Caenorhabditis elegans: one gene and its partner. The protein of the gene in region 2 interacts with the protein of the main gene of each other region in a biochemical or structural test. Each region holds a gene or a part of one and is shown on either strand. Other genes may lie near its edges. The genes, in order: par-3 and pkc-3.

The links.
Region 1: of the proteins of pkc-3 (region 2) and par-3, one has a biochemical effect on the other in vitro, tested with the Caenorhabditis elegans proteins (one study listed by BioGRID).

Annotation. Positions count from the first base shown.
Region 1 is NC_003281.10:5,662,310-5,667,375, reverse strand, and holds the start of par-3 (PDZ domain-containing protein), read right to left. Parts: upstream 3,144-5,066; 5' UTR 3,073-3,143; intron 3,015-3,072; 5' UTR 3,005-3,014; coding exon 2,837-3,004; intron 2,431-2,836; coding exon 2,341-2,430; intron 2,288-2,340; coding exon 2,225-2,287; intron 1-2,224. UniProt on the Caenorhabditis elegans protein: In cooperation with pkc-3, required for establishing cell polarity and regulating spindle orientation in the early embryo. Localization is crucial for recruiting par-6 and pkc-3 to the peripheral apical cortex and restricting par-2 to basolateral surfaces.
Region 2 is NC_003280.10:5,378,034-5,384,949, reverse strand, and holds pkc-3 (Protein kinase C-like 3), read right to left. Parts: upstream 4,924-6,916; 5' UTR 4,923-4,923; coding exon 4,857-4,922; intron 4,450-4,856; coding exon 4,191-4,449; intron 3,914-4,190; coding exon 3,829-3,913; intron 3,780-3,828; coding exon 3,653-3,779; intron 3,491-3,652; coding exon 3,314-3,490; intron 2,643-3,313; coding exon 2,391-2,642; intron 2,307-2,390; coding exon 1,948-2,306; intron 1,902-1,947; coding exon 1,559-1,901; intron 1,444-1,558; coding exon 1,318-1,443; 3' UTR 781-1,317; downstream 1-780. Other genes in the region: ccpp-6 (Cytosolic carboxypeptidase 6), read left to right, coding at 1-22, 403-524, 574-746; Peroxiredoxin prdx-2, read right to left, coding at 5,457-5,668, 5,733-6,108, 6,510-6,527.

The DNA of each region.
Region 1 (5,066 bases), on a different chromosome or scaffold from region 2:
CAGTACCCATTCATGTACGAGAGGGCCCGAAGCTGCACCATAAAAAGGCATCGAGCACGGGTAAACTGTGAGAACAAGAAGAATACAGGATGACTGTACGGAATGACTCATATCATTTATGTGTGCTCTTCGCTCCAAGACCCCCCAACAAGTAAGCCACGGTGGGGTTGCGCAAGGGCATCAAGAAGAGGAGCGGCTGAGAAAAAATGACGACAATCATCAGATCGAACGACAAATAGAAACAGAAACACTCGGAAGAGAAGGGAAGAGAGATAGAAAGGGGAAGATGTCTATATACACATCATTCCTAACCATTTCTTCTTATCTTCTCAATAGTTGGTAAAATGTCCATGATATTTGTTCTCGTCGCGAACAACAACAACACAAGCTGTTTATCAGTAAAGAAAAATACAAAAACCACCCGAAAAAAAGCTGCTTTCAGAACAGATGATTCGTAGTGGCAGCGGAGGATGGCGATAACATGAGATATGAGTGTTATGACATTGCATGTAGAATAGGGGGTGCTTTATTTCACGATGATGGCGAGGAGAGAGAGATAGAGATAGATGAACAACTTTAAGTGCTGCCAATTCACATGTTCTGGAGCTATTCGGAGGCCTTTGGAGTCAAATACAATAAGTTTGAAAGGAACAATAATTCAAGGTTTTCACATCACAATTTTCATTTTTCAACTGAAATTCAAAACTTCCACAATTATGAATAACGCCAAAGTTGTTCACAATTTTTGAATTGAAATTCAAAACCGAACAAAAACATTCCAAGGTGACTCACCATATTTTTTTAGTCACACGAAAACTTTGAGTTCTGTTCAATTTTCTTTTCGGCTGGGACTAAACACAGCTTTACATGTTACATGACCATAAAAACTGGATCAAATTAGTAAATGGAAAATTTATAAAGTCTGATACGGCTGAAAAAAAAACTCCTGCCTTTGAACCGTGCTCATCGTAATATCAAAAGTGTAGGCGGCGGGTTTAAAACTGGCGCCCAACTTCCTAACAAAACACTAATTTCTGCAATTGACTCACACTTTCTACTCGTACTCCTATTACACAACGTCCAACTATACATTCCATTTGATTAATTTCAAGTTGGTTGTTGCTGCTGATAATGATTATATCGTCCTCAACGTCAAATAAATCTAAATCAACAAAACTGAGAGAGAGAGAGAGAGAGAGATAACAAATCTTAAGCCTTCGAATAAATTCTTATCAGATTTATTTAGATCAACTGCCTGCCTACAGCGGAAAACTTAATTTACTGCGAAACGAATGCTACAACCTGCGCGAACAGGAAGCATGATGATCGACGACGATGATGATGAGGGGGAAGAGATTCGTACAAAATCCGCCATGAAGTGAACATGGTGAGAGACCAATGCATGTTATATAAACAAAAATCTACCAAGCGCGTCGAAATCAATCCGTTTATTGCAAATTGCAAAATCCAATCGGGACGAGGCGACGGCCTCCGGAATTTCCATGCCGCACAGCGTACGCCGATTAAAGTCAAATTCGACCAGAATCCATTTTGGAAATTAATCCCTCTTTGGCTAGGATTCGCTAGTTATGGTTGGTGGTCCAAGAGGAGAAAATTGCCTTCAATTTGTAGAGATTTTCAAGAAAATGAAGCGATCATTGGATATTCAATCAAGATAAATGTTTTACTGCTTAGTAAATATAAATTGGGATGATAACCACTAAGTCTTAATGTTTAAAGTGAGAAGATCAGGAGTAACTAAATAAAAATCCAAGAGCACCACAGTTCAACTCCACAAAATAGTAAAACTTTTTGACAGTCACTTATGAGAGAGAATGAAGAAATATCTATTATTTACAGTGTTGTGTGCCAACAACACACTGTAACACTGTCTGCGTCTCTTCCAAACTTTCTTTTTCTCCAAAGCGGAAAAGGAAGGGGATTATTTGGTGAAAATGAACAGAGAAATGGTATTCAACACATCCTCATCGGTGCGGCCTTGTTCTCAGCCGAATTAACCTCTCCGAGAAAACGAAAGGGGGCTGCTGCTTCTTCGGGAATGGAATAATATTGGAAGAGAATAAGACGAAGATAAAATTGCGTGCTTCTTGTTGATTTTCCTTTCATTATTCCCGACTGACTGTATTCATGGGAAAATTTGGGATACGCTTTTTTGCCTCCAAAATGACCTTTTTTCTGCAAATTTTTGGAGAAAAAAAATTACCATTCCCCTCGCTTTTTTGTACCGAAGAAGTGCTGCGTCTGCTAGTTGACCAACTGTCTGATCCTGAACAAGAAAAATATTAAAAAATTGATTGAACATTTGAAAAAAAAGCTCACCGATTCCTTCCATGGTACCACAATTTTCATTCGTCCAAATTGAACAGTGACTCGGCGAGTTCCATTCAGTGGAAGCGATTGATATTGGCTCTGAAAAATTAAAATATTGCTTATAATTATAAATTACAACCAAGGTTTCAAATATTCAATGGATTTCACATTTTTTAAAGTAAAAAATAATTCCAGATTTCGGTGTTATAATCGAAAAAGCCAGAAATTTCAAATTTGAAAAGGATCTTAAACTTTCCAACTCAAAAATAGAATGTGTACAAAATTCGGATTTTGACTTAAAAATTTGAATTTACAAAATCATTTTAAAATGCGCATTTTTGCAGTATGAAAATTTGCAGAAATGGAATTCTCAGCAGTTCAAGCATTTTTTTGAAACAAAAATCGGGTAGAACTGTTGACAGTTTGAATTGAAGATTTCTGAAGCGTGAATGAAAGATAATTCAAGATTTTTTCTCCAATTTTTAAGAAAAAAAAACTTCCGCACTCTATCAAGTGTAGATATTGAGGAATTCGCGTAACCACTCGCAATTCCGTACTGTTGCATTCGTTTTTTCAGTGTCGATTCACCCTCGTCGCTGCTTTTACAGCTTCCCGATGGTTCGCCACCTTCCGGACACGATGTGCTAGATGATGACGTGGATGAAGCCGACATGATGATCGATCTGAAAATGAGCAGATATAAAGAAAAATTAAATGAAATGAAAAGAAGTTTTAACAAACCAATCAACGTTTCTCCTCCCGAGAGGCTCTCTCGTTTCGCACCTATTTGCTCTGCGAGACCTTTTCTATCTGCAAGAAAATATATATTAGAGTGATAAGAAAATGATTGGTGTGTCTGTGAAGTAAGTAACAGTAAGAGAGAAAGAGCAAATGATTTAGTGTGCTCAGCGATGGAAAAAAGTTTGAATTTAGCGGGAAAACATTAAAATCTTAAAAATTTGTCCGAATTGCCCGCGCCAATTTTAAAAGGATACAAAAATTAGCTTTTTAGTGATTTTATTCTTGAGTTTTCAAATCTGTAATACAAAAAATTCAGCGTTTTAAGTTTTGTTTTTGCGCAGACAAATTCAGCTCGAAAAACAATATTCTGAAAAAAATCGGCCCGATTTCCGATTTCAATCGGATTTTTTCGTGTTTTCAAGATCTGAATAGCTTAATTGATCTTCTGGACGAGAATTAGTTGACGGAATGAGAAAAAACTCAAAATATCGCACATAAATCAATAGACAATCTAAAAATTTGAAGTTTTTGCAGATTTTAATTTTCAAAAAAAATTTCCCGCCATGCGATAGGTCTCGCCGCGAATGCGTACCGTACCCATCTGTTCCGAAAAATGATTACTGTATTTCTCAATTTCACAAGTCTACAAATTTTTTTAAATTTTATTTAAGAAAAAGCGGCCTTAAAACTGAATTCGCAGTCATCGCATTGCTCATCGCATAGCTAAATAATAAATGAATTTTTGATATCAAAACAAACAATGAAACCTTTGCTGGGAAAATGGGAGGACATTTCTGGAAGACAGAACGGGAGGAAGGTGGTTATCCAATTACATTTTTGGATTCTCTCTACTCTATTTTCTCTCTCAGTGCTCACCAAGGATTTCCAAATGTGCCTATTTTATTTCCACTTGGGCAATTTGTCAAGTGGAGAAGTCACACAGAGGATCCTCTAGAGAAGATGATGATCCATTATAATGAGCATGTTGGAGGAGACGAGTTTTTGGAAGAACACCGAGTTGTGCTGGGATGGATTTGTAAAAAAACAGGAAAGACTTGAAAATAAATTGCTCTACTTTTTGGGGAAAATTCAATTTTTCTTGGATTCGGAAAACCTTATTGTCGGTTTGTGATTTAAAATCAGACGCGGAATTTTGCGTTTTTCCAAAAATACGATACGAAAATGTTTTGTTAAATACATATATGTGGGGAACGCTATGAAAATTCAATGAAAATTCTTGAGCAACGAAAGTTTGAAATTACAGTACTCCTTAAAGGCGCAACCCTTTTCGCATTTAACAACAGTTTGTCGTGTCGAGACCGGGTACCGTATTTTCGGCGTAAAATAAACTAAAACCGACTATAGGTCACATATTGTGTACCATTACACTTTCTGATTGGCATTTTCCTAATGTAAAATGTCAAAAAAGAGAAGGTTGAGTCAGTGCGCACCAGCTGTATTGCACAAGAGTTAGAGAGCCATCACCTCATTGCATATGCCAACTTGACGCCACGACACACATATTTCATGAGATGGATTGGAGAAGCAAAATGACAAATTATAGTCGTGTCAATAAGTTATATGAAGTGGGTGCTGTCCCGACTATTAGTTGAGCTGGCAAACGACGAAATGAACAGAGATTGGCGCAGCGGTGCGCGATTGGATATTAGAAAAACAGTGAGTTACCAGCGGAGCTCGCGCGGCTTGTCAAATGCTCGGAGAGCCTGAATGGAAAAGCTCAAACTGAACAATCAACTTTTTGCACTTTTCTACGATTGCTTTTCCGAAAGTTTAAAAATCTACAAGAAAGATATTTTTAATTGCCTTTTATCGAAAAAAAAAGAGCAGGCGAGGTATTGCCATCGACGTTCATACCTCAACTTAATGTCAATGAGACTCATAGGTCCGATTGACCGAGACACTATTTGTGTAGAGGTATGCATGAATAACACCGTCTCTCCTCTCTTCGCCGACTGACCTTGCTCGGTACTTTT
Region 2 (6,916 bases):
AGAAGGCTGGTACTGGCAGAAGGTGAGATTTTTTATATGGAAGGGAACGAATAATTTATTATGGATTTCGAATAGTCGTGATTTTAATTTGATGGGTCTTGCCACGATATGAATTTTGCAATAGCTAGTAATTTCTCACATGGTCATCCGTAGTATCTGCGTGCAAAAACACGACTGTGGGTCCTGGCGTGAGTGAACATTTCCAGCAACAGTACCTTTTACTTTCAATCTCTATTTTGCAACATTTTCTCAATATTTTGTGTGGTTTTATAATGATGTTTCTAGAAAATATATGCATATTTTCAAAATGAATACATTGGGAAACACGGAGTTGAGAAAAACACGCTGGGTTACTGTAGCAGAAAAATGCCAGTCGTGTCAGGACCCTTCATAACTTTTCAGAACGATGGGAGATCTACTTTCCTGCCTTTGCTATACACTTGAAGTATCATTCTTCTCTTATCGCCATACAGACTCTTCTGGAAATGGAATACAACATTGTACGCCATATCTTCAATATAAATGTAGGTTTTTTTTCAGTGATTTCCTACTGTAACTTGGTTCAATTTTCAGATGAAGCTCTCGGCGAGGCATTTTGCAGAGCACTTCTCAACTTCTATGAAGCCGACTGTGGACTACGAGAGATTGTGCTCGAACGTCCCTTTAAGACTTTTCTACCCGCCCGCGCCCAGAAAACTTTGAAAAAGCAAGCGAGGAAGGTGATTCAGACTGTGATGATGAAATGAATTGGCGCCCACATTAGAACTGATAAAGACCATTGAAATGCAATTTTTTTTTGTTTGTCAATAAATAAGTAAGGGAAGTGGTCAAATGGAAGAACATGTAAATTGAATTGAAGTTAAATCGAGTTCCACACGTGGCACAAAAGAAGTGTCAGATGGCGAAGAGACTACATTGATCGTAGTCTTCGCCGCAATTTTACATATATTTCAGGGAAATGAATGAGCTGACAAGAAAAGTAACAAGAAGGTGTATTTAGAAGGGGAGGTCATCAAGCATTAGGTATTCCTAGCAAGTATGAATAGTCTAGATTTTAACAGAAACCAAAAAAAATCACAACCTTTTCGGGATTGTAAGATACCACAAGACGAGTAGAAGTGATTGTTGCGAGAAAATGTATAACAGATGTTGAGAAAAAGAAAATAAGTTAGGATACTGATTATGCCACGAGTTAGTGTGTCATAGTATCGTATAAGACAGTGGGCGAAGGAGATGGGATTCGAGAATAATAATAAAAATCACAAAAAAGTATACCGAAGAAAATAAATATTTGGGACTCGGGGGATGGTGGGGGAATCAGACTGAATCTTCCCGACTCATTTGTAGAGGATTCACGTATTCAAATCCATCAAATTCTGATTGATCAATTCGTGCAATAACATCTGGATTGTCAGGTGATAATTGTGGAAGTTCGTCGGTGAACTGAAAAAAAAAACAAGCATTTTGAATTAGTTTTAAAATATTTTGATTCAATAATTTATTAGTAAACAAAAACTAATTTTTTTTTAAAGTTAAGTTCTGAAGAAATTAAAATTACCTGATGATCAAAGTGTGTCAAATCGCGATCACTTTCCACAGCTGGATGATATGGAGGTGCGACAGCCTTCTGTTCCAAAGCTTCCCAATCAATGAATCCACGGAAGAATTGATGTTCTTTCATATCACGAAGACCTTCATTAATGTCAAGCTTACATCCCAGACGTTCTGTTGGATCCTTGTTCAGGAATCCCTTTAGAATACCAGAAGCCCGTACAGAAAGTGATCTAGGGATTCGAATCTGTCGTTCAAGAATGATTTGGAAAAGATAATCTTCTGTATTTTCCTCGGAATTCTGCATTCCAACAATATCGAATGGAGATCGACCAGCCATCATTTCAAACCTAAAACGATTTAAATAAAATAAATGTTCAACCAAAAAAGGCTTACATTAACACTCCCAATGCCCACCAATCAACACTGAATCCATATTCATCACCTCTCAATATTTCTGGTGCAATATAATTGGGTGTTCCACAGAAAGTTGAAGTTAAATCTCCATCCTTAATATTCTCTTTACACATTCCATAATCTGTCAGTTTTATGTGTCCTTCAGCGTCAATCAGAACATTGTCCAATTTGAGATCACGATAAATGATTCCGCGAGAATGAAGGAAATGAAGAGCAAGAATTATTTCACCCGAATAGAATCGAGCGTGCTCTTCTGGAAGCTTCCGTTGCTGTTGCATGTGGAACATCAGATCACCTCCAGGAACGAATTCGATGACAAAGAACAGGCGGGATTCGGTCTGAAATTATCAAAATTTTGGTTTAAAATTTTTAATGCGAAAATTTGAGATTTGAAAAAATCGAAGAAAAAGAAAGTTACCAACCTGGAAGCAAGAATGTAATCCAACAAGGAATGGATAATTTGACGCTGCTTCGAATACTGACTTCTCCGTCTGTACCCAATCGATATCTTCATCTTCATTGAACATCTCCTTTTTGATAATTTTTATCGCGTAAATTTGACGAGTTGAAACATGTTCTGCTTGCACAACTTTTGCATAAGATCCACGTCCAATAACTGTTAAAAGACGGAAATCGTTCAGAGAAACTGCCCATTTTGACGACCCATTTCCATTCTGAAATATTAAAAAATTTTAGTATTTGAATCTATGTAACTTTAAAAATACTTTTCGCCGTTTCTTTTTATCTGATACTGGGAAGCACTGACAGAAAAGTGCCATACGTTGAAATATTAAAATATTTTGATATCAGGAAGAAATCAGAATTCGCAGCGAGGAAGGGAATTGTGGTTGGAAATGAATAAAAATTTTGAGAGCAAGAGAAAGAGTGAAACTACAAAAACTTGTTCATCCAAAAAAAAACAAAAAAATGTAGTTGAGTCTAGAAATCTAGAATGTTTTTCAAGAGTTACATATATCACGTATCTAGAAATTTGAAATTGAAATTGCAACAGGAAGAACCTAATATTTAATTGAACTTTGGATTAAACTTAATTAAATATTTCAATTAACTACCACTATTTCAAAGACTTTCCAATTTAAATTGTTTTTTTTAACAAGAGTTATTTCATTTTCAGCTATTGTAAATCTGAGACTTTTCAGATGGTTTTATTTAAATAAAAGTTATGTTTTTTTGGAAATAAACTAATAAATTTCAAAAAAAATTAACTTTTCTGAATATTAAATTAAATTTATTACGATCCCTCGGAGACGTGAAGACAAAGATATTTATATCAAATTTCAAATATATTTTATTTCAAATTTTGGCTCCAACTTCAAAAGCTTACCATAGCTCTGCTAGCATCATGACTCGTGGATCCGGGTGATTCGATTTCGTGCTCGTGGAATGCTCCGTTATCAATTCCTCCACCCGACCGCGTTGTAGATGAGCTTGTATTCGATCGAGCACCCTTTAGAGAACCACTTGCAGGAGCCATTGGGATAATATTCGGGCCTTGGAGAGCCTGAAAATGATTTAGATTTTTATGAGGAATTTAAAAATTTAAGCTTTAAACCTGTTTTGCACAGAAATTTGTAAAAATTGAAAAACAGAAGTCTGGGAGGTCTTAGTTTCAAAATTTTGGAATAATTTAGAAGCTATCCTCGCTACAAAAAAAAAGAATTACCTGACCACAATGCGTTCGCACATGCCGATGGCATTTTTTGTGCACGCATAAACGACAATCCACACATCGAAAGCCTTGCCGTCCAATTCCCCATATGTAGTCATGACAAATAAAGCATTGAATACGGCTGAAAAGAAAGAAGCTCCGGAGGCTGTAAATCAGAAAAAAAAACCTACCGATTCAGCCGTTTCGCTTGGAATCGATGCCCATTGTACAGATAAATTTTCTTCCATCGTCGAGCACCTCTTCGATATACAGTTTCTGGAAAAAAAACATTTCTCAGACTCGAAAATTTCCGATTTTTCCTCCGACAAATTTCTTGTTAAACGCGAGAAATTGTGTGCCTTTAAAGATTACTGTAGTTTCAAACTGCGGAAGTTTGATCTATTTTCCAAAATTCCAAAATTTATGTGTTTCTAATTGTTTCATTTCAATCTTTTTATAAAAATTGATAGAAATTCCGCTTTACAGTATTCTTTGAAGGCGCACATTTTTTCGAAATTCTAAATAATTTTTCTGATAGCTTCATGATACTTACTGTCTTCTCCTTGACACGGAAGCCCGGGCAGCTCTGGTTTTCCAACAAAAACGTGAATGTTCAACTCGGCTTCTTGACTAGAATTCAAACATCGAACTGCTTCATCAAGTTCCATTTGTGAGTCTATTGAGATTGGATCTCCATCTTCATCAATCCATTTTACAGTAATATCTTGTTTTTTGTGTTGTTTACAAGCATCTTTCAAAAGTGCAAAAAAGTCATCGAGAATGAGCGGTGGTCGAGCATAGAGTACTACTACCTGGAATTTAATTTTTATTAAAATTTGGGAGTCTGGAATTTTTCAGATTAAAAAAAAAAAGTTATACAGTAACAAAAATTATTTTTCAATTTTGCAGAATTTTTAAAAAATCAGTGGTTGTTTTTTTTTAATTTTAGCCGGAAAAGAGCTTTTTAAGTTTTAAACACTATTAATCAAATCATTAAAAGTTCAGAAAAATTAATTTTTTACAGTTTTATTCGGTTATCACGGTCTTTTTCTATTTTTTGTCTGGAATTTTCTCTCTGTTACGAATTTTTAAAGCTTTGACAAACTAAAATTTCGCATTGACGGCGAAATGATTTACACATTCTCACTGCAACGAAAAATTCATTTTTAGGGTATTTCTCGATTTTTGAGCATTTCAAAAGCCACTTTTCATATCTCACCTGTCCTTGAAACCTCGTTTTTAGCTTAATATCTCCGTCCTCCTCTAATGATGTCGGAGACGACATTCTGAAATAAAAATTGAACTAAAAACGGTTCAAAAAAAGGAGTTCTGAACGAAAACTGCGAAACTGAAACAGTGACGAGTTGGCAGTATTAGAGTAAAAAAGGGAAAAATGACTCATGAATAAACATGCACATACACACACACACACTGTTATAGCTATATATGCATTGACGCTCTATCGAACACCCCCATTTTGTCCAAGTGTACAGGTCAGTGAGAGCGGCCCAGCTTTGAAGAGGCATAGAGAAATGAATAATCACAGGTGACCCTCACAAACACTGTACAGGACGACGATGCGCGCGCACCGACTAACACGGGCGGTCTAGGAAAGTGACAAAAAAGTAACAGAGAGAGAGTCTCGACACATATTGTTTGTTCCTGAACAGAAACAGTTATATTCGAATACCGAGTTTATTTTACGGTTATCAAGCAATTTCATGAATTTCAGAATTTCAGTATCAAAATGAAAAATGAGTATAAATAAACCGTTCAGATAAATACTAGGGATACGGGGGAAATTAGAGATGTAAGACATTTAGTGCTTCTTGAAGTACTCTTGGCTTTCTTTGACTCCTGGCTTGATGGTGTCGGATCCTGGAGTCCATCCAGCTGGGCAAACCTCTCCGTGCTTCTCGACGAACTGGAAGGCCTGAACAAGACGAAGAGTCTCATCAACAGAGCGTCCGACTGGAAGATCATTGATGGTGATTTGACGGAGGTTTTGTGATGGGTCGATGATGAAGAGTCCTGAAATTTTATTTTTCAAATAAAGTACGAAAATATGAAGGATTCCATTCAGAATATAACTCACCACGGAAAGCAATTCCTTCGTCCTCCTTGAGAACTCCGTAATCACGGGAGATTTGGTGGTTGGTGTCAGCGAGAACTGGAATGTTCATCTCTCCGAGTCCTCCGTGCTTGCGTGGCTGGTTGATCCATGCCAAGTGAGAGAAGACAGAGTCGGTGGAAGCGGCGAGCACAACGGTGTTGATAGCCTTGAACTCCTCAGCACGGTCAGAGAAGGCGATAATCTCGGTTGGGCACACGAAAGTGAAGTCAAGTGGGTAGAAGAAGAGCACAACGTATTTTCCCTTGTAGTCAGAGAGCGAAACATCAACGAACTCGCCATCAACGACGGCTTGAGTCTTGAATTGTGGAGCTGGCTTTCCGATGAATGCTTTCGACATCTAAAAATTAATTAGTTTAACAAAAAAAAATAATACCGCGATAAAATAACAACCACAATCACAAGAACAACAATACGACAAAAAATGAAAAGGATATTGAAACCCAACGGCAACGAATTTGTTTGCAATGTGAAAAGAAGGAGAATAAGGTGACGGGCGGTGCTTATCTAATGGGAATGAAATACATTGGCAAAATTGGAGAGCGACGAAAGAAAAAAAATCGGAGGACGAAATGAGAACTAATAAAACATTCTGGGAACATCTTTGAAAAACCAAATTAATTGTTATAAAAGTGAGTGATCATGTTAAATAACAGAAATCGAGGGGTTTAAACTTTTCCGTGATTTAAATTAATATCTAAGTAACCAAATATATTTTTAAAAAACAAATAAGAAATGCACCTTTGGAGCGAGAGACATGATTTCACACTGCAATTTTTAATAAACATTTCTTTGCATCTTCCAAGAAACGAAATAAGGTCAGTCTTTTTATAACATTGCCACAAACTTTCATCATCATGTGACGCGATTTTTGCTGACAATTGTCGCGGCAGGGAGTAACAGACTACAACGTTTAGGAGGAGCGAAAATCTTAGGGTTCAAGGTCACTTTTAAAGAAAATTCAAATATTATTACCTGTCTATACATCTTGGCGCAGAGTTTTAGAATTTCAGCTGGTCGAGCAGGTCTTAGAATTCGAATTCACTATTTATCTTAAATTTAGCTGATCGATTCTATCTCTCATTTGGCTAGCGTATTCTTCCCCGGTTGCTATGGCTTCCTAGCAAGCTTTCATAAAAGTCGAAAAT